Linked DNA regions of Diceros bicornis minor. The protein of the gene in region 2 interacts with the protein of the main gene of each other region in a pairwise test. Links are inferred from orthologs where the notes say so. Each region holds a gene or a part of one and is shown on either strand. Other genes may lie near its edges. The genes, in order: C20H19orf44, CBY2, PLEKHN1 and DZIP1L.

Evidence for each region.
Region 1: the proteins of CBY2 (region 2) and C20H19orf44 interact in binary tests that used the Homo sapiens proteins (3 or more experiments, as listed by UniProt). The two-hybrid records come from large-scale screens. The link is inferred for Diceros bicornis minor from reciprocal best matches to the Homo sapiens genes CBY2 and C19orf44.
Region 3: the proteins of CBY2 (region 2) and PLEKHN1 interact in binary tests that used the Homo sapiens proteins (3 or more experiments, as listed by UniProt). The two-hybrid records come from large-scale screens. The link is inferred for Diceros bicornis minor from reciprocal best matches to the Homo sapiens genes CBY2 and PLEKHN1.
Region 4: the proteins of CBY2 (region 2) and DZIP1L interact in binary tests that used the Homo sapiens proteins (3 or more experiments, as listed by UniProt). The two-hybrid records come from large-scale screens. The link is inferred for Diceros bicornis minor from reciprocal best matches to the Homo sapiens genes CBY2 and DZIP1L.

Annotation. Positions count from the first base shown.
Region 1 is NC_080759.1:4,664,197-4,671,330, reverse strand, and holds the start of C20H19orf44 (uncharacterized protein C19orf44 homolog), read right to left. Parts: upstream 3,012-7,134; 5' UTR 3,001-3,011; coding exon 2,930-3,000; intron 2,880-2,929; exon of another isoform or gene 2,116-2,879; intron 1-2,115. Other genes in the region: CALR3 (calreticulin-3), read left to right, coding at 3,273-3,363, 3,541-3,642, 5,828-6,031.
Region 2 is NC_080748.1:31,138,751-31,146,027, forward strand, and holds the start of CBY2 (protein chibby homolog 2), read right to left. Parts: upstream 3,021-7,277; 5' UTR 2,888-3,020; coding exon 2,801-2,887; intron 1-2,800.
Region 3 is NC_080752.1:21,948,016-21,954,893, reverse strand, and holds the start of PLEKHN1 (pleckstrin homology domain-containing family N member 1), read right to left. Parts: upstream 3,003-6,878; 5' UTR 2,160-3,002; coding exon 2,077-2,159; intron 1,979-2,076; coding exon 1,879-1,978; intron 1-1,878. Other genes in the region: KLHL17 (kelch-like protein 17), read right to left, coding at 3,668-3,896, 4,135-4,316, 4,508-4,581, 4,678-4,766, 5,150-5,317, 5,402-5,546, 5,839-6,052, 6,268-6,384 and 1 more. UniProt on the Homo sapiens protein: Controls the stability of the leptin mRNA harboring an AU-rich element (ARE) in its 3' UTR, in cooperation with the RNA stabilizer ELAVL1.
Region 4 is NC_080741.1:15,059,982-15,067,040, reverse strand, and holds the start of DZIP1L (cilium assembly protein DZIP1L), read right to left. Parts: upstream 3,002-7,059; 5' UTR 2,796-3,001; intron 2,244-2,795; exon of another isoform or gene 1,222-2,243; intron 482-1,221; coding exon 404-481; exon of another isoform or gene 339-403; intron 1-338. UniProt on the Homo sapiens protein: Involved in primary cilium formation. Probably acts as a transition zone protein required for localization of PKD1/PC1 and PKD2/PC2 to the ciliary membrane.

The DNA.
Region 1 (7,134 bases), on a different chromosome or scaffold from region 2:
CATGCGGCCATCTGAAAGGAGCCAGGGAGATGTGCGTGCATAACAATGTTGCCAGCTGAACAACAGAAGAGGAAGAAAGGACAAGATGCAGACCACGCCCCCTCTCCACACTGTTGGAATGTTTTAGCACCGCCGTGTGTTACTTTTATTAAAAAAAAAAAAAAAAAACGGGGCAGCCCAGTGGCTTAGCGGTTAAGTGTGCACGCTCCGCTGCTGGCGGCCAGGGTTCGGATCCCGGGCGCGCACCGACGCACCGCTTCTCCGGCCATGCTGAGGCCACACCCCACATACAGCAACTAGAAGGATGTGCAGCTATGACATACAACTATCTACTGGGGCTTTGGGGAAAAAAAAGGAGGAGGATTGGCAATAGATGTTAGCTCAGAGCCGGTCTTCCTCAGCAAAAAAAAGAGGATTGGCACGGATGTTAGCTCAGGGCTGATCTTCCTCACAAAAAAAAAAAAAAAATTCACTGTGAGACCTGAAAAAGCCTTTTTTCCCATCCCTGCCCACTTGGAAAACAATCTTATTGGGATTGCCAGATTAAATACAGGACACCCAGTTATTTGAATTTCAGATAAACAGCAAATAATTTTAAAAATATAAGGATGACCCAAATATTTTTATACTAAAAAATAATATGTTCCAAATATTTTTATACTAAAAAATTATTTGTTCTTTATCCAAAATTCAACTGGGTGTCCCATATTTTTATTCATTAAATCTGGCAACCCTATATGTTTTTATTTTTGCTGAGGAAGATTCACCCTGAGCTAACATCCGTTGCCAATCTTACTCTTTTTTTTTCCTTTTATGTGAGCTGTGACCACAGCACAGCCACTAACAGACGAGTGGTGTAGGTCTGCACCTGGAAGCGAACAGAGCACGCCGAAGTGGGGCACACCGAACTTACCGAACTTAACCACTAGGCCACCAGGGCTGGCCCTCTATATCTTAAATACACCCTTCAAAGCTGAACTCAAATGTTTTGTGCAAGGAAATGCATTTAACCCAGCCCCTAAGACTCTGTACAAGAATGAATGATTTTTATTATTTTCCTGTCTGTTTCTCTGACTACTGTGCTTGCTCACTCGTCCCCACCTGAACCACCCTGTGTACTAAGAGTGCCCAGCACAGGCCTGACCACAGGGCTCAGTGAATGGAGAACCACACCCAACAGCAGCAGTGCAGAATTCCTAGTCCGTGTGACCCTGGGCAAGTTACTTAACCCTTCTAGGCCTCAGCTTGCTGATCTGTAAAAAGGGAATAATAACTATTTCCCTCATAGGATTCCTATGTTCAGTATGGCTCAGCAAAATTTAGACAGTAGTAACGGTAGTATTTGGACTACCTGCATAAGAGGCTAACTTTCACCTGGAATGACGCAGTGAAGGGGAAGCAGAGATGGCCAGAACCAGGTCAACAGGTATCTTTGCTAATATTTTTATAGCCAAAGTTCAGGGGACGACTCAGCCTCGGCCATTCTGGGGGTCAGAGGGGAGGCCTGACCAGCAGACCAGGTTTTCTGGCATCTAGTTCTTCTGAAAGTTTCCCTAGGTTTAAAAATAAACTAATGGAAAAATGGTTAAAATGGCAAATTTCATGCTATGTACATTTTACCACAACAAAAAGAGATATGTTTAAGAAACACACAACTAAAACTAAACCAATAGGCAAAAAACCTGAACAGGTATTTCACACTCAAAAAAAATATATACATGGGCCGGCCCCGTGGCTTGGTGGTTAAGTGCGCGTGCTCCGCTGCAGGCGGCCCAGGTTCGGATCCCGGGCGCGCACCGACGCACCGCTTCTCCGGCCATGCTGAGGCCGCGTCCCACATACAGCAACTAGAAGGATGTGCAACTATGACATACAACTATCTACTGGGGCTTTGGGGGGAAAAAATAATAATAATAAAAAATATATATATATATATATACACACACACACAAATGGCCAATAAGCACATGAAAAGATGTTCAACATCACTAGCCATCAGGAAAATGCAAACCAAAACCACCATGAGATCCCACTTCACACCACTAGGATGGCGATAATCAAAAAGACAGATAAGAACAAGCACTGGCAAACACGTGAAGAAACTGGAACGCTTACACACTGTTGGGGGGTTGTAAAATGGTGCAGCTGCTGATTTGGAAAACAGTCTGGCAGTTCCTCAAAAGGTTAAACATAGTTACCATGTGATCCAGAAATTCCACTCCCACATAGCCCAAGATAACTGAAATGTATGCAAATGTTCATAAGTCATTATTCATAAAAGACAAAAAGTAGAAACCACCCAAATGTTTATTAACTAATGAATGGATGAGAACAACACCGACACACACACACACAACATGCATCCATCTCAAACACATCCTACTAAGCGAAAATAACCAGATGCAAAAAACACACACCGGACGATTCCACTCATAATAATTGTCCAGAAAAGGCAAATCTAGACTCAGAAAGCACATCCGTGGTTGCCTGGGGCTGGAGGTGGGAGGGGGATGGACTGCAAAGGGGCAAGAGGGATCTCCTTCGGTTGACGGAAAAATCTTAAAGCTGGATCGTAGTGATGGTTGCACCACTTGATAAATTTACTAAAAATAACGTAGTTGTACACTTAAAACGAGTGGTGAATCGTATGATATGTAAATGAATACTCAATAAAGTTGTTAAAAATAAATAACCAAACTTTGAAAGCACTGGCGCCCCTCAGACCGTTGGGCTCTTCCCTCAGGCCTGGAGCGACCCACATCGGACCACGCTCCCGAGTGGGCTCCAGAGGGGGAAACTGAGGCGTGAGGCGCGTGGCCGCCCTCCCGTCGCCCTCCCAGCCCAGCTGCCGAGCGCGCCCCGTTTCCCCACAACTCCTCTCCCAAGCCCGAGCGCGAAACCTGACCGCCACCCAGCCAACCCCGCCAACCTCCTCCCACTCTGTCCATCCGCGGAGGCTGCCGCCGCTCTCGGTCCGGCACCCGGCCAGGAGAGGACCATTGCCTCCAGCAACCGCGCTAAGGCGGAAAAGACTACATTTCCCGGCGCGCCCCGCGCCCCGAGGACCAATAGTGCCCCGAGTCACATGGGCGGGGCATCATGGGAGTGGTAGTTCCGGGGCGGCCCCGGCGCGCACTGCGCGCCGGGGACCAATGGTGCCTCAGGTCATAATCGGGAGGCGTGACGGGAGTTGTAGTTCCGGGACAGGCCTGGAGCGCCACTGAGACCGGGAGCAAAGGGGCGGGTATAAGAAGAAGCGCCGTGCAGTCGCCATGGTCGCGGCTCGCGTTCCGCTCTGGGCAGTCTGCGTACTACGAATGACGGTGGCCACCGTCTACTTCCAGGAGGAGTTTCTAGACGGAGGTGAAACGCCCGTGGTAGCCCATACCGAGCTGTCCGGCGGACGGCCTAAGTCGCCATTGGCGCCAGCGTTTCGCCGCGGGGTCGGTGGTGGCGAATCTTCGACGCCTCGAGGCCCCTCACCCTCCCCATGACCCCAAGTAACAGTGTCCGCCCTAACCGGTGTTGTTTCCCCCACAGAGCGCTGGAGGAACCGATGGGTGCAGTCCGCCAATGACTCCCAATTTGGGCATTTTAGACTCTCGTCGGGGAAGTTTTATGGTCATAAAGAGAAAGACAAAGGTTAGTGTAGGATTCGTGAGAAAATCGAGCTAAATGTTAACCCCCCATGGCAACCTTGCAAGGTAGATGTGGCACACCCTTAACCCCTCTTACACCCATTTCCCAGGTAAGGAAACAAAGGCACAGGTAGGGTCTTGAGTTATTTTTTTTCTCTCTCCTGTCTTTATGAGCCCAAGATCACCCGCTTTATAAGCACTAGTCAAATGAGTTCAGGGCCCAAGGGAACTTTTTCCTGCGGAGGGAAAAAGATTAGAAGATACTTCTCATTCTTATTTTCACGTTAAAAAGAAAAAAAAATTGAGGTAAAAGTTACATGCTGTCACATGCACAGATCTTCAGGGTACAGCAGGATGAATGTTTACAACTGTACACCCGGGTCGAGATAGGGGACATTTTCAGTCCAGGTATAGGCCTACCTGGTGCCCCCCTCCCCCAAATCAGTAGCCTCCTGGCCCCAAGGATAACATCTATTTGGTGATAAAAGGGGGACAAACTACAGCTCGTCTACTGTGTGTTTTTGTACAGCCAGGGAGCTGAGAATAGTTATTACATTTTTAATAGTTGAGAAAAAGATCGAAAGGGAGATAGTATTTTGTGACATGTAAAAATTATATAAAATTCAATGAAATATGTTTCTGTGTCCATGGATAAAGTTTAGTGAAGCACAGCCATGCCCATTCATTACATATAGTCTGTTGGCTGCTTTCATGCTGTAAAGGCAGAATCAAGTAGTTGAGACGGACGAAATGGCCCACAGAGTCTAAAATATTTACTCTCTGGCCTTGCAGAGGAAGTTTACTGGCCCCTGATTTGGATGAAAAATTTCCTTCTTTACCACCTTCCACTCAACCCCCATCTTGGCCCTGTGACTCCATTGTTACCCTGTGTGGCAGCCTCTGGTTTTCTATTGTATATACGTTGTTTTGTAAGTTACATGTTGGCCCACAAAGTTGGTCAAAATTCAGGCTATATGAGAAAAATGGAGTGAAAATACACAGGTTGTTCCATGAAGCTTGTCCATGGACAGGGGTTTCCACTTAGAGTCATTTGGGTATTTACCACAGTGTTTTTCCTCCCTCCAATCTGGAATCCTGAGGTTCTGTGCGTTCATTCAGCCCAGCATGCGTCTCCTGATAGCACACACAGGCAAGGCCTTGGGGACACTGGTTAATTTGGCCCCTTGCATCATGGTCTCCCGGGCCATGACACAGAAGTCGTGGACGGGAAGATAGAGTTTAGTCAGGCAGAGATGGAGGTGGTGAGAGATGATGTGGTTGGCTGAGGAGGGTAGCGGGACACAAAGGGAGGCAGTGTGGCTTTAGGAATTGCCTGGAGGATAGGAGGAAGGGGAAGGGGAGGGGCTACAAATTCCCTGAGAAAGGGAAAGGTGGGAGAAGGATGGAGGAAGCAGAAGGAGAGGTGTGGTAGTGGGGAGTCAGCCATGAGGTCAGGCTTGGACATATTGACACAAAAGGCCAAGTTCGTTTTTACGGCTCTCACCACAGGCAGCTATGGGGGCCAGAGTGTGGAGCAAGGAAGGGTAGGTTATGATAAGAATGGCTCTGTTTTCAGGTTTGGCAGACTCCAGGATAAGATAAGGATTTGGTACAGAGCCTAGTGGCTACTGAGAAAGGGGGTTTTGGTCTTGAAGTGAATGCCTAAACTTGTAAAACAAATATAATCTGATTTGCATGATAAAAGGATGGTATCTTCGTAAAAAGAGCCGTCACACAGATGAGTCTCTGGGCCAGCTCAGCCAGTGCCGTGAAGCACTGTCTTGCAGATCAGTGCTCTGTGCTCCGTCTGCTGTTGTGTCTCTGAAGTAGCTGTTTTAAGACGAGAATTGAGGAAAAGAAGTAGAATGCTCCCTTTTTTAATTCAGGTGTTACACAGGCTTCCTTGTACATACCCACCCCTCGGAAGATGAATGGAAGCAAAATTAATCTTTTATCCATAATTAGATTGCGTATTTGTCATTTAGAGCTAAAATGTTTGTGTAACTTAAGACATAACAGTGGTATATCATGCCTGTTGCATATTATTGTACAAATGTGCTGTAGGCTCTGGATGGTCCTTAATGGTTAGGAAGTAATTACTGGGGGTGGCAGAAGGACAACCATTTAATTGCCTGCGTCACTGAGCGCTGTGTCATTCCTAATCCTTCATGAGTACTTTTTGTTTAAAGGTCTGCAAACCACTCAAAATGGCCGATTCTACGCCATCTCTGCACGGTTCAAACCCTTTAGCAATAAAGGGAAGACTCTGGTCATTCAGTACACAGTGAAACACGAGCAGAAGATGGACTGCGGAGGAGGCTACATAAAGGTCTTCCCTGCAGACATAGATCAGAAGAACCTGAATGGAAAATCCCAGTACTATATTATGTTTGGTAAGTTTAGATAGTACAACACAACCATTTCTGGTGACTTTGAAAACCCTTCCACCTCATAAGATCCTTAGACTAAGACTTTGCTAAAGTATTGGTATTGAGTATATCTGACTAAAGGTTTTTAGCACTGTTAAACCTAATTAATACTATAAAAAGCCAACTATACCATTCTGTTGTGCTTTTGAAAAAGCTATTTATTCAACATTGATGTAGCCCCAAGTATTTTGACTATATCAGGAGTTAACAGCCCTTAGCCGTGGGCTGGATCAGTCTATGGCCTGTGTTTGTTGAGGCCCCGGAGTTGAGAATGGGCTTTAACATTTTTGAATGATTGAAAAAAATCAAAATAACGATATTTTGTGACACATGAAAATTACATGAAACTCAAATTTTAGTGTCCACAAATGAAGTCGTATTGGAATGCAGCCTAGCTTTGTTCATTTATATCTTGTCCATGGCTGCTTTCAAGCAGCAAGGGCGGAGTTGAGTAGTTGTAACAGAGACCACATGGCCCACAAAGCCAAAAATATTTACTGCCTGGCCCCTTACAGAAAAAGCTTCCTGACCCTGAGAACATATTAAGTGTCTTCTGACACCAGAGGTAATTGATAAAAATTTGTGCTGGAATTGGGAAGGGACCACACTGGGCCATAGGAACTACACATACCTGAAGTGTGTGCGTTCAAAAAGCTTAATAATGAAGAGGATTCTGGGAAGATGGCAGAGGAGGAAGCACCAGGAACCTGTCTCCCCACCTGGACATCAACTGCACTGGCAGAATCTGCCTAATATAACTGTTTTGGAACTCTGGAGTCTGTGGAAGGATCGCAGCTTCCAGGAGAAGACTAGGAGGGTTAATTTTGGTCAATTTCAGCTCTTAGCACAGTAGCACCTACCCATCCTCCACCCCCAGCCATATGGCCGACAGCTGTGCACATGTTCCTGGAGCAGCTTACACACAGCTTCTGGGAGCCAGGGTAGGCAAAAAGGACCCTGTCCACCAAATATTGGGCATCTGAGTGCTGATTACTGACTCATATCACAAAGGTAGAGCCAAAGAGGCAGCCATTGTTGTAAGCACCCCCCACCCCCAGTTGAAGTGA
Region 2 (7,277 bases):
ATCATTCTGGATGCTGTGTTGAGCATAGTTGTAGGGGAACAAAGCACATAAGTAGAGAGATCAATTAAGAAGCCTGTCAAAGTCTCCAGACAAGAGAAGGTGGTGAGAAATGACCAGATTCTGGATGTGTGTTAAAGGCAGAGGCAACAGGATCTGAGAACAGGTTACATGCGAGGTGAGAGAGAAAGAGAGCAGTCCAGATGGTTCTGAGATGCTTGGCTGAGCAGTGGAGTTTACTGAAACGACCAAGACTGAGGGAGGAGCAGATCGTGGGAGAAGATCAGGAGTTTGATGTTGGCCATGTTAAACAGAATACGCCTAGGGATACCCTAGCAGAAATGTCAAGTCAAGCAGGTGGTCTGGGTTTCTTGTGAATGCTTACAGAAAGGACGTGGAATGGTAAAGTGAACAAGGGCTTCAACCATTATTTTTGCCAAAAGTACAGAAACATTTGTTTTATGACCATTTTTATATCAATCGGCAATAAAAATCAAGGGCGTACTCTTCAATCATAGCTAAGTGAAGGTACTTCTGGAAGCAGCCAAGTTGGTGTAGCAAAGGTCCTAAAAGATGTTGCCCTCAGGAATCTAACTTAGAACAAGGATGGAGCTTACCAAAGCTGGAGGAATCTGGATCAGCTCACACAGACCTCTGTCTCTCTCTCTCAACTGTGATTTCAGATTTGCCTTTGGCAAGAGTGAGCTCTTTGAATGTGCTTATTCTCTGGGGTAGAAGGTTAGGTGGCAAGGTTGACATTTTGCTATGAAAAGCAAAAAAAGAGACTGATAAATTCTCACCAAGATCAAGGCCCATCTCATTCTCACTTGAAGGCGGGTCACTGGGATACCTGAAAGACCTACTAGAATTTTTCTTTAAAAAGAGCTGTGAATTCACTCAAATGGGCAGATGAATCCCAAGCTGCGACTTCAAAATGATAAGCTGATGCTTAGCAACAATTTGGAATTATTCAAGTTAAGATGTTGTGTTTTCCTGACAAAAGGGTGGATCTCAGAGAGTGGCTTCTACAGACAGATATAAGTTAATCCTTTCCCCATGCAAATAATAAATGTGTCTATAGTTCCTCCAGGCCATCCCAGTCCAGAGGGAAAAAAAGTGTGCAACTGTCAGAAATGTAGCACAACTATCAAAAGTATCTATCAGCAACATAAATAGGGAAACTTACATCACAGTTGAGTTTTGCCTCTGAAAGTGTAAAAATCACAGCCTTGTTAAATTCTTTGAAACAAGGGACTTTGTCTTCTTCAATCTATATCCCCAGAACCTCCTAGAACAATGCTAGCACATAATAGGCATTCAATAAAATACTGACAAAGGGATGAATCAATCAACAGCAAGAAATAATAAAAACAAAACCTATGAGCACCATCTTGTGGAAGGCCTTACCATGACACCATCCAAGATGCCTGTCACCAGGCTGAAGAATGGACACTGAAATTTGTGTGACAGAGCCTTACCGGCCAGGGACTGTGGGGAACAGCAGGCTAAGAAACTTATCTTGAAGCTGTGTTTGCAAACCAAGTACACTTTTTAGTTAGATTCAGGTGAGGTTGCTGGAGATGATGGGGGCTACAAAAGTCCCCCCAAGCCAGCCCTTGGCAGTGTCCCTGAGTATAATTGAGAGGTGTGTAGATCCCAGAAGTAGTCTTTGACCAGTCCCAGCAAAAATGGTTGTAACAACCTAGCCTCAAATTCTTCCTTTGTGCTTCAAGAAATCCTTGGGAACCAACAATCCCAAGAGCTCTTCGGACACCAGGTAGCATCCTCTGTCTTTCTGCTTCTGCTACACCCCTCCCCAACTCATTGAGGCTCCTACTGTCGCCCTGTGATACTCATATGGACTTGGCCTCTCTTCTGTTTTCCTCCAACTTTCTCCACGTTGGAGTAGGAAGGGAGAGAGGCAGAAATAGTTATCTGGTCACCTTCCATTTGCTCATCTCCTACAGGACCACCAAGCAGAGGTGGAACCACCAAGAACCACAGAGGTTCTCTGCGTCACATGCCTCTCCCACTGGAGTCCCCTTTTCTGTCATTCCCACCCCCTTCCCAAGAGCCTGGCACAGGCCACGGAGAGACAATATGAAGAAGCCCAGTAACACACACTGCTGGTGTGCATAGGGTACTCACGACTCTTCAGGTTTTGTGGAGACCTGGAGCTTATACAATTTGGACTCTCTTCGAGAAAAAGAATAAAATATTACAAATACAAATTTAGGTGCAAAAGTGAATAAGCTATTTAGAATGTGAGAAGAAATCACAGCAAATCACTGGCACCTCAAAGATCCAAGTCCTTTTCTTCTGAACTCTGACAACTGAGCAGAAATGCTTACACAGAAATGGATTGCAACCCAGCCGCCTCACCCGACCTGGGCCACTCTGCAACCCTCAACAAGTCCACTCAGAGTGGCCACGGCATGTGAACTTCATCGGCTTCCTCCAACCCTTGACCCCAGATCAAGCCTCTGCACGTGGACTGTCCCCTCAGGGCAGCTCCTTGCCCCCGCCCCCCGACAGTCCTCCAGGCTGCTTAGGGGTCTTTGTCCTGGGAACCAGCCCAAGTGAGTCCACTCAGGGTGCCTCAGGGGAATACCCGCCCTTCTCCCGGCCAGCACACCCTGCAGCCCACAACCTGACCGAGTTAGAGAGTCTCAGCTCTAGGGAGTCGCAGGCCCTGTCTCCATCTCAGCAACCCCTCACAAGCTCGCGCTGGGGCCCGGGATTGGGGAAAGCTGACGCGGCATGATTCTGGAAACAGAAAAATAAAGCTATAAAATTTACATACCATTAAATAAATAATAAAATCAAATAAAACTCCACCAGTCTTTGCCGCGCCTCCTCTGCCCCGGAGCACGGTGTGGATTAGCAGCATGGCCGGCGCCAGCCGACACCCAGTACTAGCGGTCTGCCGTCCACCGTCCCCATTCGGGGGAACACCTGATGCACGTGGCCATGACGCAAATAATGAAAACTTTCCGGCCAGCCACGCACGCTTGGCCCAGCATTTCCGCCGCGACGACGGGGGCTGGGAAAGGGAAGCCGGGGGCAGGTCCAGAGGCTTGGAACCCCGGTACGCCTTAGAAGGGCGCGGGGGAGGGAGAGGGGCGCCGTTCCCATGGCAACTGAGAGCTGAAACACACGAGTGCAGCCTGGGAGACGGCGCTGGAGCTGCGCCGCCGTCGGCGCGGGTAAGGGCTGCCGACCTTAGCCGCCCGTGCTCCGGGAGACCCGCTCCTCCTCCTCCGGCCCCCGCCAGGCAGGAGGGAGGGGGAGCTGCGTCCAGAGTCTGGGGAACAAAGAAGCGTCACCTCGGAATTCTTTGTCTCTCTCCGCATTCTCTGCCCCTCCCTCCTTTGGCCCTCCTGTTCCCTGCTGTGACCGCGCTTCTACGCTTTGTGAAGGGCGGTGTTGGGCCCTGACACTTCTGCAAATAAAGGAGGACTGGGTCCTTAGAACCCTGGCCCTGAGTTTAAGGAAACATTATGGGTGTGGACGGTGTAATTTCTTCCTTTTCAGCCTGCATAGTCCAGTCAACTAGGCAGGAAAAACAATTCACCGCATCCAAAATTCCATCCCTGTGCACAACCAGTTCCTGTGAGCCAAAGCAAATCAGTTTCCCCTGTCATCCCACCCACCCCTGTCCCCCCCGACCTTAAAATGAGAGAGAAGCAGTGGTCCTAAACTTCCAGGGAGAAGGTGAGGAGGGGCCAGTGGCTGGTCCTCCACAGATGTTCTGTGCTGAGTGGCTGCTCAAGGTCACCCTCCTTGAAAGTTCAAATCTGAATACATTTGAAATTCCATTTATAAAAAAGGCCTTAGGGAATTGTGTTTTAATGAGTGCACTGGGGTGTCCAAACTGCTAAAAACTGCACTGACTGGTCTAAGGGAGGTCAACAGAACTTTTTGGCTTCAGTGTTGCCCCCTGGCGTTTTTTAATGTGGATCTGGATCAGCGTGGGCATGGCGCCATGGAACTTGCCCAAGTAGGCCATCAGTTGTTCCCCCAAGAGGGAAGGCAGCTGCCTTCAGCCAAGAAGCCTGCCAGTTAGTTAGAGAGGTTATAAACAGCTACTGAGGACCATACGGCCACAAGACGACCTCGCGTTTGCAGAGCCCTCTAGAACACCCTGGATCCTTTACAGAAATGAGACTTCTCCCCTTGCTCCAGCCACGGTTTCCAAGCATCTACTGGCAGCAACTGAGCTACACCCAAAGGCGCTATGGCTCACCCCATTCTCTTCATCAGCTTCAACTTTGCCTTCTGAGCCCACTCACAACTCATCTCTTGGTTGTCCCTCCACAGCAGGAGAGAAAGTTAGATGGATGGGGGCCTGAAAAGTCCAGACCGAAAACTTGATGTGAGGTCAGTCTCCTATGTGCCCTTTCTTCCCATGGATCATCCATTCAGTCCACAAACTTCTGTGGAAATCCTGCACATGCCAGGCGTTGTGTGAGGCTGCCGTCTCATGGGTGAGGCAGGCATGCAAACAAATGTGAACAGTGCAGTAAGAGAAGGGCATGAGAGAGCTGTGGGAAAAAGAGGATAGACCTTCCAGAAGAGCGTGCACGTCTTCACAGAGGAGGTGACTTTGAGTTGGGTTTTAAAGAATGAACACGCTTGCTTTAAAATAAGAAAATTTGAGAGTGAGGCTGGGACCCCAAAAAGAAATCTCCCTCTGGAAGAATTGCTGGAAATGTATACTGCATTCTCCAGAAAATAAAGCAGGACTGTGAATATCTTGGAGTAGAAAACCGAGAGAAGACGGAAAAAGGGCCAGGAGGACTGCTCAGCAGACAGAGCCCTCGGCCCCAGCTCTGAGGAACTGGAAATGCCCAACCTGACTAGAGCTAGTCCATGACTGGCCCAGAGCCCCTGCCTTTTTCTAAGTTGACGCTTAATGTTAAATAATGTAACACTGTTAACAGGGCCTCCTTCTAGGCACATCGAGGATTAATAGGAAAGACGTCAGCCCTACAGGTCGAGTTTTAAATAAGCTCGCCTGTGCTAGAACCAAGTTTCTCTCCAGTCTGCTATTGGAAGGAACACATACAACTATCTACCAAAGCTTGAGGCTTCTCTTGCACCTTGAGACAGGGTGAAGCCTTGCCCTCCCATCTCTGCTGCTGTAGTCGGGGCTGATGTGTCCTGTTAGGTAGCGCCTCAGTAGCAAATTCCTCACCCTTCGCAGTCCTCAGCCAGGAGTCCTCAACCCAGCACCTGCTGGTCTCCTCCTAGATCTTAGGGGTTTAGTTGGCCTCTTCACTTCCGGGTTGTGTAGCTCCAAGTCTCTTAGTCTAGAAGCATAAGCCTACATTCTTCCTGTCCCACCAAAAATAGGAGGTGCTGGTTTAATAACAGAGTTTATTTAGTTTTTCATATTTAATCCCCCCAAACTCCAAAATGTGGAGCCGGGCATCATGCCGTTTTAGACTGGTGCCTTTGCCTTTTAGAAGAAAGGGATGCTCAGGCAGCACAGCCCAAGTCCTGAGCCTGCCTCTCAGCTCCAAATCCGTCCAAGATCCCCAGGCCTATTTTCACCAGTAGTTGTGATAAACTTCAGCTTTATGTTGGGTCACAGCTTCAAGCCACGCTTTTGGAGCTCAGCTATATGAGTGTGGTTTGCACCCGCCCATGGCCATGCACTCAGTGCCCCAGGAGTTACACCTGACCATGTTCCCTGATGCACTGTCTAAGGAAATAAGCACTAGCAGCACTCCTCACCCGGGTTATAATTTTCTGCCCTCCTGACAGCAAGTGGAGCTCCTCAGCCCTAACCAAATCAGTCGGTGCAACCAGCTTTCTATGGGGTTCAGGGATTCTAGGAAGCGCTGAGCAGAGATTCAGGGACAGCTCCCAGGTGGCACCTGGCACTGGCCCAGAACCCACTAATTCCCAGGACTCTGTAGCCTCTTGGCTGCGGAGGTTTCTTTCCTTAGGAGGGCCTGGGGATATCCCTCTTTGAATAAGACATGGGTCCAACATGGGATAATGGGTCTACCAAGGCCACCTATTCTCTGTCCTACAAAATTCCTAACTCCTGGAAATTTGCAGACTCCAGGCACCATCCTGGGCTCTGTGATGTGAGCAAATGAGCCATTCGGCCTGGACACTGAGGACAGCCTCTAAATGACCACATGATTATGCTTGGAAGAACCCCATGAGCAGTCGTAACAAAAAATCCCTTTGCTCTTGGTCTTACCAGCCTTCCCAATGACTAATTGGGCATTTTCAGGTCGTAAATGACCCCCTTCCTTTCTCATTCTGTCCCTCTCTGGTCTCTAATTGAAATCTAGAATGCTCGGTGCTTCTCCAGTTTGCCGTGTCAAAACTTAGACCCATGAGCCAAGGCAGCTGAACTTGATTCTTTAGGGAGGTCAGGTGGGGGTTGGGGGCCCCACTGGTCGGGCAGGTAGGAGATAGGAGAAAAGGCTGTACCACCAGACAGTAATAGCCTAGCCCCCTCCGTAAATAAGCTCCCCTTACCCTCATCCTCTACACAGAATTTTCTTTCCATTTCCTTATGGTGGCTAAAGCCTGTCCCCCACCCCAGCCCTGGGACCCCTCTGGCTAGCATTTATCTACATGGAGACTGCCCATTTCTCTCATGGGCCCCACACCCCAGAAGCCAGAGGGTGGCATCCTCCTAGCTTCCTATTTTCTCCCCTTACAGATAATGCTCTTCCAACTCATGTTAAAATCTTCCTCTTTCTTTCATGACGTAATCACACTATACCATATTTTAATTCGTTTTTCTGTCTCCCTGCTTAAGCAAGATGCTTTCTTGAGGTCTGTAGGTGTGCCTTACGTGATCTTGCAGCCCCAGTGCCTGACAGTGTCTGTTACATAGAAAGTCCTCCATGGATGTCTGCAGAAGAAAGAGGAAAAGAAGAAAGGAAAATGGGATAGGAAGGAAGACTTGGAAGCTTATCATTCTCAGTAGCACATTTAAAAGGTCTGGTTAACACACTGAATGATAGAATCGGATTCACAAACATTTGAGCAGCCTGGAAGGGTGAGACAAAGCTAGCAAGATGAAATTTAATACTGATCCATATAAATACCTGTATCAGGTTCAAAAAATAAACTTAAGTTTAGCACCAAAAAGAAGAGAAAAAACAGGTAAAGAACTTAAAAGCTACCTTTAAACATTTGCAGCCCGCTGCGGAAGAAATTTGTTGTATGTAGCTCCAGAGAGCAGACCTGGGAGGCTGGTCGAAAGCCCAGGGGAAAAAGATTTATAGGCAAAATCTGTGTAATTTGTT
Region 3 (6,878 bases), on a different chromosome or scaffold from region 2:
TCGCCCACCGCTGTATCCCCAGAGCCTAGGACAGGCCTGGGATATCTGCTGAAGGGAGGGAGGATCAGCGCTCACAAACACCTGGCCAGCCCTGGCACAGAGAACCCTTTATACAGAGGGGCTTGGTCATCAGATTGGAGTCGGAGAGAGACAGGTGCTGACCTGGGGCTGAGGACCTGAGGGCTAGGGTCTCAGGGCTGAGTTGGGGAGGGGGCCACCCTCCCTGTGGGAGCTGGCAGGGGCTGCCTCTCAGGCTGCTGTGCCCTGGCCAAGCTGAGCCGCCCCTTGGGCAAGCCCAGGAATGTGAACAGACAGACACACAGCGTCCCGGCCTCCCTGCCTCTGGGTGGGGCCTCCGGTACCCACACCCAGAGCCGGTAATGACGCTGGGATGGGACCACGAAAAATAGGCCACGGAGCAGGACAGGCCATGCAGCTGGCCCTGTGGCCCAGACCCAGCCTTAGGGTCCAGGGAGGAGCCCGCTCACAGCTGAGGCAGGGCCGGCTCATGTGTGGGGGCAGAACCCACCACAGGGCAGGTCCCAATGAAAACTGGCTCCTCCCCTGACCCCTCCCTCTCAAAGTTCAACATGCCTGGTCCCCTCTCCAGCCACCATGTCCTGGCAAGAGAGGACCACCAGGACCACCATGCCTCATGGAACTCCACCAGGGTCACATGATGTGTCCTGGGCCTGGACAGAGGGACTTGAGGTCTGGGATGCAGACACATGAAGGACCTCATCCCGGCCAGGCCAGGCCCTGGACGGAAGTGCCCTGTCCACGTCTCTGAGGCAGCACGGTTTCTGAAGACAGCGTTTGCTCACAGGGAGCCCTGGGACCTCAGAGGCCAGGAGAAGGGACAGGCCCGCCAGCCCTTCCCAGCCTGACAGCAACACATTGGGAAGGTGGGCTCTGAAGCCCACACTAGCTGCTAGGCCTCGAGGGGATGGTGTGAGGACCGAGGAGTGCAGGGCTGGAGCTCCTGGCACAGAGTCACAGCCGTCCCTCCTTCCCTGTCCTCTCCCTGATGCTCCTGGGGTAAGAAGCTGCGAGATCATTTTGCTCACATCCTGGTGTCTCCGCACATAGCAGAGCCTCACCTCAACCCAGTGCAGCCATGTTGGGGAAAGGGCTGGTTGTCTCTCCCCCTCAGCTAACCCTTAGCCCCACAGGAGTGGGGGCAGGGTGGGTGGGGTGGTATTCAGCTCAGAGGTGGCCTAGCATGGGCTCGGAGCCACGTCCTTGCCACGTGGCCTTGGCAAGGGGAGACGGGGGTGCTGTGAGATGAGGCATGATGGATGTGGAGAAGACACTCCCTGGCAGAAACTGAGGCCTGGAGTAGGTGAGAGGCTGGCTCACTGTTCACGTGAAGCCCCTCACCCTCAGAGTGACAACGGGGGGTGAAGGTTCACAGCTACACTGCCAGCACGACACGGGTGCCCACGCAGCAACACTGAAGTACGTGAGCTTGGTCCAACTTGAACGTGCCTGTTCCTGGGGGGTGGGCAGACACCAGGGCTGGGGCCCCACAGAGATGGCTCTGAATGCATGGCCTGGCCATGGCGCCCCCTCTGGTGCAGCAGAGGCTCCTGGAGGCCCCGCCCGCGGCCCGCTCCTGCCCAGTGCTCGCTCACCCCACTGACTCAGTGTCGGGTCTCAGTTTCACTCTCTGCTCAGACTTTCGGCCAGATGAGCTCCCCAGGGTGGGGCAGTGTCTACTTCCTCACCTTGTTCTGGGTTTGACTCCCCCTGGGCTGCCAGGGGAAGACCCTGAGCCAAGGCAAGATAGGACACGCACACGCAGTCACATACCGATGACCCCCACCGCACCCCCTCGAGGCCTCGCTCCAGCTGGGACACGCCCACCCGCCCGCTCACCGTCCCAGGGATGTAGTAGAAGATCTTGTCGGCAGTGGTGTCCCCGTCGGGACCCGCCTCGGTGCCAAACAGACCAGCCAGCTTCCTCGCACCATCCTCTCTGGGGATAAGGGAGGGGGGCTCACAGCCTGGCCCCCAAGGCAGGTTGAGGGCGACCCTGTGACCCAGAGGCCGAGGCCGTGCTCCTGCCCCCCTCACCTATTTCCCTTCAGCGAGGGCTTTCTGGAGAGGGAGGCCCGGAGCCTCCGAGGCGCCTGAGGGACGCAGTGGCTGTTTCCCATGGGTGGCGGTGACTGCTGCCCCGAGCACAGCAGGTCGACGTCTGGGTTCCTCTGTCCTAAGCCTCCTGCCCCCACCTCCTGGGGCGGGGCTCCGGGAAATCTCGCCCTGTATCCAAGACCTGGGGAAGGGTGGAGACTTTCTGGGAGGAACCTGGCCCCTACCTGAGCAGAGCCGTTCAGTGCTCTCCTGAGTCTTTCACACGTGCAGTCCAGCCTGCCTCTCAGCCCAGTCAAGAGCCCCCAACTCAGCTGCCAGTCTGTACGGGAAGGGCCTTGAACACCTAGCCTGGGAGTGCGTGGCCTGCCTGCACTCGGCCTGGGGGTGCCTGGGGCTGGAGCTCCCTGAGTCCAGGGACCACCTTCCAGGCCTCACCTGCGTGAGCGCACATCCTGTTTCCACCTAAATGCCGTCTCTGAGTCAGCAGTGACTGTAAGGGGGTGTGTCCTTGCTCTCAGCCTCAGAAGCGGGAGTTTGCAACATCAGGGAAGGGGCCAGAACCCTCTCCCAGGCTCCTTTCCCGCCCCGGCCCAATCCTCACCCTGAGCCAACGTCAGGGTCCCCGAGGCTTACCCAGAATCAGGAAGGAGACCACAACCCTCCCAGGTACACCCAGGCTGTCACGGTGAAATGGGAAGAATGCCATGCACGCCACCCTCCCCAGAGCCTGAGGTGAGCCAGGGGACACAGGAGCCTCTCAGGACCAGGCTCATGCTCACGGTGGGCGCTCATCCAGGACATCACCAGCCCTGCCCCACCTGGACATCACGGTGCTGCCTCAAAACCCCCAGATGCCAATGCAGCGCCTCAGCCCAGCTGCAGACCCACCCCGGGGCCCTCCCGATCAACAAAGACAGCACCCTGAAAGGCGGAGATGGACACTCAGCCTCAGGCCCAAAGAGCCCAAAACACATGTTTATTGTTCAAGTCAGCTCATATTGCTCTGTGTAGTCTGGGGCACATGTGTGCCCAGCTCAGTGCAGAATCCAGAAAAGACACCACCCTCACAGGACGGAAGCCCAATTTGTGCCCTCCCCGGGAGCGTGCCTGGCTGGGCAAGGAAAGGGCGGTATGCAAAGTGCAGGCTGGGGGGTCTGCCTCCGCTCAGAAAGCCCCCCACCAACCCTGGCTGCTCTGCATCTGCTCCTTGGTCCCTCCAGGCCTGCAGAGTCGGAGTTGGCCCAAATGTCCACCCACATCGCTCCCTGTGCCCCCGTTGGGGTGGGAGGACACCCTGGAGGGCAGCTTGGTCCCAGAGACACAGGACACTTTGAATAAACATATAAACTGGCAGCTGCAGCGCTGCTCGTCGGTCAATAAATAATGAATAAATAAATGAGTAAATAAATAAACTGCACACACAGAAACTAACTCTGAGGAATGAACACAAACGGTGGCCTTGACGCAGAGACGCGACAGACGGCGCAGGACGCCCCCGGGGGGACTGCCCCGGGGGGCTTAAGGCATGTGGAAGGCTGTGGGCTGGCCTCTGTGCAGGCCGCGCCACGGGTCAGAGGCTGGTGGACGACACGGACAGCGTGGGCGAGGAGGGTGGCGGGAAGTTGAGCAGCTCAAGCACCGCCACGCCCACGCTGCTGCGCCGCGTGAACATGCAGGACGCGGCCACCCACTTGTTGGTCCTCGGGTTGTACTTCTCAATGGAGTTGAGACTGGAGCTGCCGTCGTTGCCCCCCACGGCGTACAGCCAGCCGTCCATGGCCACCAGGTCGTGCGTGCTCCTGGGGGCAGGGGGGTGGTGGGCTTGAGTGGCAGGGCGGGGCCCCCAGGCCATGGGAGGAATCTCTGGAGTTGGGTTGGGGCATGGAGCTGGGGGAGCCCGGGAGTAGTGGGCAGGGGGCAGGGGATGGAGGGGTGGACACACCCCACAGTGGTGAGGCTGTGGGGCACGTATGTCAGTGTGTGGAGGGGAACACCACGAGGGGGACACGACTGGCCAGCGAGGTGGGGCTGGTGCACCTTCGGATGTTCATGGGCGCCACACTCTCCCAGGCACCGGCCTTGGGGCTGTATCTCTCCACCGAGTTGAGGCAGCTGGTGCCATCATTGCCACCGGCCACGTAGAGGGCCCCCTCCAGCACTGCCACACCCGCAGAACTGCGCCGGCTCAGCATGGAGGCCACGGGCGTCCATGCGTTCACCTGCAGTCGACGGGATGGGATGGGGGCAGCCCCATCACAACCTCCCTCCACCTCCATGGTGCAGACCCCTACTCCAGGGCAGAGTGCTTGGGGGTGGGATGTAAAAGGCTGACCCTCAGGGGACGTGGGTGGCCAAAGTGATGACCTCAAACAGCTCTGGGGAATAACCGTGACAGGGGCATATTTCGCACCTGGGGTTCATACTTCTCCACGGTGGCCAGGTGTGAGGAGCTGTCGTAACCACCCACGGCGTACAGGTTCCCATCTGCAGAGAGTCAACAAACCCATGGTGCACCTGTTGGCACAGGGTCTCAGGTGGCAGGAAGGGTGGGCACTACATGAAGCAGGCCCTGTCACCCACCGAGCATGGCCACGCGCACGTATCGTCTCCGGGTACTCATGGCGGCAACAGACGTCCATGCTCCCATCAGGGGGTCATAGCGCTCGGCACTGTGGGCATCAGGACCGCCGCTGACCTTGAGCAGTGGCAGAAAGGTTGTCCTGGCCCCTGGACCTGTCCTCCCCATGGCAGGACTAGAATCCTGTGCTGGGTAGTCATGGAGACTGACCTGAGTCTCCCTGGAACAGGAAGCAGGGCCTGCTGGGTAGGCACTGTCCACCTGGGCCCAGCCCTGGACTGGTGGGAAGGACCCCAGAGAGGAAAACGGGGCAGCTGGGCTGGCACATATGAGGAGGCCTGGGGACCCTGGTGACTCCAGTCAGGGGGAATCCCCCTTTGCTCCCCTCAAGCGTGACCTCTGCAGTCCTGATGGAGCCGTACCTACTGCGGAGCCAACCCCAAAAGGCCACCCAACCCTGACCCCAGCCACTACCTGTTGAGGCAAGAGGCCCCATCGTAGCCACCAGCTGCATACAGGAGCCCGTGCAGGGCAGCCACGCCCAGGCAGCTGCGCCTCGTGCCCATGGACACCTCTGGCTGCCAAGTGTTGGTGACAGGGTCGTACGACTCTACGGTGGCCAGGTCTGAAGTCCCGTCGTAACTAGGAGAGAGGTCCGCTGCCGGTCAGGAGTGGCCTGGAGAGCATATGCCGAGCCCCTGCCCTGAGAGCGTCCTCCACACTTACCCGCCCACAGCGTACAGCCGGTTCCCGACGGCTGCGACGCCCACTCGGGCCCGGCGTGTGGACATGGAGGCCACTACGTGCCAGCGGTCACTGCGTGTGTCATATGCTTCACAGTCCCCGTGGATGGCGAATAGGCTCCCACCACCTAGACAAGAGAAGGTGAAGGGCAGGAGAACGGACCCAGGGAGGCAATGGGCTGGGGGCTCTGGCACAGCTCGAGGTCGAAGGTGTGGGGACTCCAAGAGCGGTTGGGGACAGGGACTAGGGAGTAGGTCACACTACACAGGGTCCTCCGTGGAGGAACAGAGGAGCAGGAGTGGGGTGGGTGCAGGACGTGACCAGCACAGGGTGGAGGAGCTTGTGCTAGGCTCACGGAGAGAAGACGCAGGGCAGAGACGTGGGGGCTGGACAGGAGGGGACGGGAGAAGTGGGCATACCCACAGCGAAGAGCACGGGGCCAGCACCCTCACAGCGCCGGGGCCGTGTGCGGCTAGTGCCCAGCACGCCCCTCTGCTCGGGCAGCAGGTGGAACTTGAGGGCCTCGATGAGCAGGTCCTTGCAGTCAGGGTGGTGCCTCACCAGGCTCTCGGCGTCCACGTGGCCCAGCAGGAAGTCCCGGCTCAGCAGGGGCAGGCGCACACACTTCATCAGCTGGGGTAGGGGTGCCACAGTCAGGTGGCAGGTGGGACGTGTGGGCACACTTGGCCCCGGCACCGAGACCACCCTCAGACACCCTGAACCTTTCTTTAGGCACATGCCTATACCACCCAGTGGAGTCTCTGGACAGAGGAGCCCAGACACACCTAGGCCCTTGGCCACTGCATCCCCTCCTGGACACCATGGGACCACCCAGGGCCTGGCCTCACCCGAGGGACATGCTGCCGCCGAGCGTCCACGTCATGCTTGACCCAGCTCAGGACGGCACGGTAGACGTCCTCTTCTGAAGGCACGTTCAGGCTGTCGCTAGAGACCAGTTCCAGCACCTGCGGGTGGGGACCCTGAGACCTGAGATTTGGGGAGGACCTTGGGGGCCCATGGAGCCCTAAAGGTGCCTGGGAGGGAGAGTCCAACGAGGGGCCCACTGTTCCTATGAGGAGGGACCAAGCAGGGTTAGGAGCCACAGATCTGGTTCCTAGGGATTTAGTCCAGAGTAGCCCTGGGCATGTGGAACGAGAAACTGAGGACGGTAGGCAGAGGTGTACTCAGAACAGAATGGGGTCAGGAATCAAAGGTGAAGGCTTGGGTGGAGTCAAAAGATGGGGCAAGGGCGGAGGAGCCCAGAGAATGGATGGTAGGGCTGGAACATGGGTCAGAGGCTGGGAATAAGAACCGAGGAGCAAAGGGCCAAGTCTTAAGAGCCCAGGGGAAGGGGGCTGGGGGTCAAGGGCTGGGTCAGGGTCCAGGCTATACTCTAGCTGGCATTACCTGTTTCAGCGGCAGCAGCATGAATTCCTCAGTCTTGGCCACATCCACGAAG
Region 4 (7,059 bases), on a different chromosome or scaffold from region 2:
GTCTTGTATGTAGCTATGATTTGTCTCATCTGACAAGTGTAGAAACTGAGGCTCAGAAAAGCTAAGGGACCTGCCCCAAGTCACTCAGCTACTAAGTAACGAAGCCAAGATTCAATCAAGTTCTGTCAGACTCCAAAGCTTTTGAATCATGCCAAACCACCTCCTAATGATGACAATGACGATACGTAAATTATTTCCCATTATGGAAATTACAGTACCTGAGATTTCTTGACCAAACTTCAAGGACTAAAAGAGTTTTCAGCAAATCACAACAGGGTCAGCGCTGGAGTCCCTAACTCCCCCTGTATCTCAGCAGAGCTTAGCCAAACACCACTCACCTCCACGGCGTGGGTCCCGGCTGGGATGGGCAGAAGACAAGCCAAATGCAAGTGCTGCAGATTACCTGGAAACCACACGCCCCAGGGGGCAGGAACACCGCGCTTCTCCAGACCGAATTATCAGCAGACTGCTTTTCCCACATCTGGGAATAGAAACACAAGGCAGAAATGACTCACTGTCAGGAAATCTGGAGCTGTGTTAACCATCTCTAGATGTTTTGATGGAGTCCTCAGAAACTTCCCAATCCTCGAGCAATGTCACAAATTAGTGGGAACCAAAAGAATGATATTTATGCCAGCATTCCAAACTCACTTCATTGTTGAAGAGATGGTTTCTCCCTGGGCAATCACAGCCAAGAAAGAAAGCCCGTCTACCACCCGTGCCTTGCACACTCCCAGTGATGGGGCATTCACCACCCCGCAAGGCAGCCATCCACTGTGAGACAATTCCTGGAGACTTTATGGTTCTTCTGAAACCTGCCCACCTATAATCTGTCAGATAACTTCCACGAAATCAACCCAACAGCTGATTTTTTTAATAAAACTCTGACTGATTTAATATAACTTGACAGCTAGACTACACCACCACTGCTGCCACCTTACTGTCTCTTCTGCTTCCTCAAGAATGCAGCCAAGAGGAGCACTTGGAGGAGCCAAGCTTCCAAGGTGGCTGCCAGGCAATCATTTACCAGCCCGCCCTGGCTCTGAGCTAACTGCAGCCGGGCCTGCCCAGGGAGCTCAGGCGTGTCATTAGTGCTAATTGTAGTGGCTGCCAAGGAGACCTTCACATAGTTTGCAAACAGGCTGTGCACACTCACTAGGCAAGGGAACACTAGAGACCCCAACGGAGATGAGTGACCCGGGCCCTCTCCTGGAGCCCTACCGTTACACGCCTTAGGTTTCTTCTCTGATTCTGTTGTTTTCCAAAGAAAGGAGTCCCCCTTTCCACTCTTGCGTTCCATGCAGGCTGCACCCACTCCCAGAACCATCAAGCAGCGAGAGAGAGATCCATGCCACCAGGCACACAGCTCTCCCCTACAGCTGGCCTCCATTCCCAGCACCTTGAAGGAGATATTTTTAAAAGAAATCATTCACGGTTTTGTCAGGAGCCTATTTTAAGTTATTGCCACAAAAGGATTTTCTTCAAAATAAAAAATTGGGAGTGGGGATTTGACTGACATTGCTCAGAAGTATTTTCGAGAAGACTACATACTGATATGACCTATCTTCCCAGGTGATAATGGTCAAAAACCAACACTGCTTTTCACATCTAAAAGAAAACCAGCTTAGAATATACTGGTGTTTTCTTTCCTACGGAGGAGTCACTGCTTCTTGGTAGAGTTTCTCCCTCTGCAGTGCCTGGGCCATCAGACCCCCACAAAAACCCTCCCTACAGGTGCAAGGCCTCGTGACAGGTGGCACTGCAGGTGGTTACCCCTGCCAACCAGGACCAGCTCTCCTGCAAGGGGCCCACGAGGAGGTCCAGAACAGCCCACCAAGCTGTCCCCTTCTCTGCTCCTGTCAGTTTCAGTTGAGCAACAAGTCTTTTCACCCAATCCCACCTCTGTGGCAGAACCCAGTTATGTTGCACAAGTGAATTCAGGTTTCTGTTTCCAACCTGAAGCGTATAACATCCTGGGACCATTTTATCATGTTGGACGGTATCCAAAAATATTTCCACACGAGGGAGATGTCTCCAGACCCTTGGTGCTGACAAGACAGATGAATGACCACTTATCAACCACTTGACTGGAGGACCCACCTTCTCTAGGTGGGGTTGTTCTCACTGGCCAGTCCTCAGCTCCAGGAGGAGGCGTTAGGGACTGAGACTGAGGAGGATGACCACCCACCCAGCAGGCAGGCCTCGGCCCCAAGGAGTGCTGGGTGAGCGGCAGCCCCTGCCCAGGCCCTCCAGACCCCCTCCTGGCCTGTACAAAGCAGGTCTCCCGTGACGTCTACCTGCAGCCACCGCAAAACGCAAACACCATCGCCGCCTCCTGCTCAACTCCAGCCCAGGAGTGCAAGAAGGAACTAGGGATAACGATGTGTGTGTTTTTAAATCATCTCATTACTAAAAGATCCCCTTTATCTGCAGAATCAGAGCATCAAGCGCCCCAGATCATTTTACTTTTTCCAAAAAGTAGAAATCCAAGGCCGTCTTGCCAGCGAGGCCCAGTCCTGGGGGTTCAGTCATTGCTGCTCCCCTCCCGGGGTACCGCGGTCCAGCGCAGGCCGAGGGAGCTGGGGGTGGCGGGCCGAGCCGAGGCGCAGGAAGCGGCGCGTCTGGAGGCCGAGCCGGGGCGCAGCGCCCGCAGCTCCCGGGCTGGAGCCGCTAATGTTTAACCTCCCGCGGCTCCTGGCACGGATCAACGGGTCCATCGGACTGCACGGACGCGCCCCACCCGCGCCCCTCCCGGCCCGAATTCTTGACATAGTTTTCCCAGCGGTCCGGCTCACCTGGGGGTCCCGGAGCCCGGGCAGCGGGCAGAGGTCCCGAGGCGCCGGCTCCCCTTCTCGCCCGGCCCAGCCTGGCGGCTCGCTCCCGCGCCCCGGCCCTTCCCGGAATCCTCGCCGCCACGCGGGCCGGGATGCGCCCTCAGCCTCGAGCGGCCCCGGCGCTGTGGGGGGCGGGGGACCCAGCCGGCCCGCCCACCCGGCGCTGCCGACCTGGGGGCCGGGGCGAGAGATGCCCGCAGCTCCGGGCCTGGGGTCTCCGACGCCTCCCGCTCCCACGACAGCAGCCCCACCCCACCCCAGGGAGGGTGGAGCCTCTCCCCAGCCCCCTGGGAGGAGCTATTTTTAGGCCTGTTATTGAGGGAGGAGGAGGGAATGCCACGTTTAATCCGTTAGGAAAATCCCGGATCCAAGTGAATGGCTCCTAGGCCTTGCTGAGAGGCGGGCCGCGTGGAGCCCAGGGAGGCTGGACGGGGTTCTGTCTACACACACACACACACACACACCACACACACACTGCCCCCGGTTCAACCGCTGGCCTGCTGAAAGCTGGGGGAAGCTGCAGCCTTCCGGGCAGACAGCCCAGCCCACCCGCCTTAAACTAAAGGGACCTTCTTGGGTTTCTGATCCTGCCAGACGCTAGTCCTTTGAGTGAGTCCCAGGCCTGGTCAGATGGTAACCAGCCCCCTAGCCCCCAACCTTCAGGCTTGCCCTGTGGATCCAGCTGTGAAACCCAGGACCAAAGAATTCTTTCCTGATAATCAGTCCCTGATCCCTTCCTACAGCCAGTCGTTGCTTTAGTTAGACTCAGATTTCTGAGAATTTTTTTAAGTCTTTCTCCAACCCCAGCCTCAATCTGCCAAACTCTGTATCTTGGGGCAGCCAAAGCGAAAGTGGCTGGGAACAAGTGTTGGTAAAGATGTGGAGAAATTGGAACCCATGTACATTGCTGGTGGGAATACAAATGGTACAGCTGCTGTGGAAAAGAGAAAGGCTGTTCCTCAAAAATTTAAACATAGAATTACCATATGATCCAGCAGTTCCATTTCTGGGTATATACTCAAAAGAATTGAAAGCAGGGACTCAGATATTTGTACACACATGTTCATAACAGCATTATTCACAATAGCCAAAAGGTGGAAACAATCCAACCTAAGTGTCCACCAACATAGGAATGGATGAACAAAATGTGGTACATACATACAATGAAATATTATTGAGCCTTAAAAAAGGAATGAAATTCTGATACTTGCTACAACATGAATGAACCTTGAAAATATTATGCTAAGTGAAGTAAGCCAGATGCAAAAGGACAAATATTATATGTTTCCTCTTACACGAGGCACCTACAATAGTCAAATTCATAGAGATATTCCAGAAAGTAGAATAGTGGTTACTGGGGGCAGGAGGGAGCAGGGGGACAGGACAGGACAGGACGGTTAGGGAATAGAAAGTTGTTGTTTAATGGGCACAGAGCTTCAGTTTGGGATGGTGAAAAAATTCTAGAGATGGATAGTGGTGTTGGTTGTACAACAGTGCGAATGTATTTAATGCCACTGGATTGTACACTTGAAAACAGTTGAAATGGTAAATTTTATGATATGTATATTTTACCATAATTTTTTAAATTTAAAATAAAAGTGGCTTGGGCAGGGATCAGAACAAAGTAGGGATATTGGTGAGCCATCTACTCTGATGGGGAATCTTGCTCCTCCTCACCTCTCCTGGTCAGGGCACCCTCTTCAGTGTAGGGGTTCCTGCTGCTCACTAGAGGGGAGAGAAGAGTCCAGGCTCTGGACTCAAAGACGTACTTACATTCCACACTCCCAAGCTACATAACTCTGGGAAAGTCACTTAACCTCTCCATAAAATGGAAAAAATCAGCTCTAGCTAGCAGGGTCATTATGAGAAACAAATGAGCTCAAGCGTCTGCAGGCTCAGCCCAGGGCTTAGCGGTCAGCAGTGCGTCCTCCCAAGTTCAGTCAAGTGTGAAATCTGTGGGGGCTTGGAGCACATACTTCTCAGCTCTCTTCCCACTGTGTCCTTAAGTGTGCAGAAAGTAGCTCTGAGGGTACCTGTGTGCTTTTGTCTGTGTCATTTCCACTCGCCTCAATTTCCCCATATGTAAATGGGGTACCCTCTTTCCAGGGTGGATGTGAGAAAGTGGACTTGACATGCACCCAGGTCCACCTTGTCGATAACACCAAAAGCTAAAGACTCCATCTTTGGCCAACCAAGACCTCCCATGCATGGAGCCCTCACACCCTTCCGTTTTTGGGCCACAGTTCAACATTCAACACAGCCAAGGGTTACTGAGGGCCTACTGTGTGCCGGGCTCTGTTCTAGGGCCCGAGGATACCAAGAGTTTATGGAGGACTAAATCACTCAGCAATGGGAAGCTGTCACCCTCTGCTGTGCCACTTCTGCCACAACAGAGATTTGGCACCAGTGGGGACAGGTGTATAGTCCATGACACAGCAACAGGCCAAAGCAGACTGGCCCTAGATGGCTAGTCTAGGGGACATTCCTTTCACCCAGAACAGCTGGGCCATATCTTTTGGATGGGAGGGCAGGAGGGTGGGTTCCCAATATCCGCAGTTTCCATCTTGCCCTGTAGCCCCTCACCCCTTCCTCAGGCCACTGCCAGACACCCGCTCTCTGACCCAGCACAGACACCGTCACAGCTGGTCTCCTTCCTACACTTAGGGATGTGTCAGGAAAACAGTGAGACCAGTGTGCTGATTGATGGTGGACTTAGATTCTAGGCAGCCCACAATAGGAGTGCCCTCTGCTGTCAACTGCTGGCATCACACCTTGGAAACCAGCTCCAGATCCCACTTTCCTGAAGGGCACCTGAGGTGTATGGGGCAGGTCCCCAACGCTGGGATGCTGGCTGCTAATGGTCCTTGAGGTGATTTTAGGTCAAAGGTGTATTATTGGGTTTTCACAGCATTGATACATAGATAGACAGACAGGCATATAGTCAGAGGGGGGTTTTACATAAAAATCTGGTTTGCTGGTTTATTTTGAAAAACCTGAGCCTCTGGCAACAGAAGGCCTGTGGTCTCACATGTCAAAAATGGGCTGGAGCTGAGGGGGAAACTTTTCCCTAGGCAGAGCCTACACTCTAGCCCAGTCCTTGAGAAAAATCACTTTGAAGGAAGTCTGTGCACTTACAGAAGAGACCTTTCTCAGGAAAAAGCTCTCCTTCCCTGCAAAATGAAAATGCAGAGTCAGCCTAACCAGGACCTGCTCTCTGAGTCTGGGAACAAACTCAAGGCCTGGTGGGCTAGGACACACTGAAAAATTGCAACAAAATAATAAAATGTTTGTGTCTTTGATACACAAAAAGTGGCTACATATCAATAAGATACAGAAAAACAACCCAATAGAAAAGTGGACAAAAGATATTAGGCAATTCACAGAATAAGAAAATATATATTACCAAATAAACATGTGAATCACTAACCTTCAGTGAAATTAACATGACAATGAGATACATTTTTAAAACTATTATATTGGTCAAAGTTAAATAGATTTTTGGCATTGGTGAAATATGGGAAATGCACAATTTCAAACAGGCTTTTTTGAAAACAATTTGGCAACACATATCAAAATCTAAAGTCCTCAAAAATGTGGTCATCGAGACTTTTGCTACAGAATTACATGCACTATTAAAACTAGAACCAACTTAAATGTCCACCAATTGGGTATTGATTAAATAGCTTATGATATATCCTACAATGAAGCACCCTACACCATTTTTTTGCTCCATACAATCTCGTTTGAAACTCTAAGAATGAGTGTGGGATTTGGAAAAAAAATTAATATGGGGAAAACACCATCATGGTTTATTTTCAAAATGTATCATGACATCAATATGCAGCATGGACTCATAGAAGGCCAGAAGGAATCCAGGCTCACACTTCTACCACTCCCTACTCCTTACTTTGCCCAATACCCCTCATCACCATGTTTTGAAATATTCTTTTCTACTAAACAAACTACATTTATTAAGTAATACATTATTAATTTATTTCCTACATTTTATTAACCAAAAACATTTTAGTGACAGTTAAACCTTTCTATAAATATCAAATTATCAATACTGAATTCATATAATCACAGCCCAGCAGAAAGAAATGTGACATTCAGGGCTGGCCCCGTGGCTTAGCGGTTAAGTGCACACGCTCCGCTACTGGTGGCCCGGTTCGGATCCTGGGCGCGCACTGACGCACCGCTCCGCCAGCCATGCTGAGGCCACGTC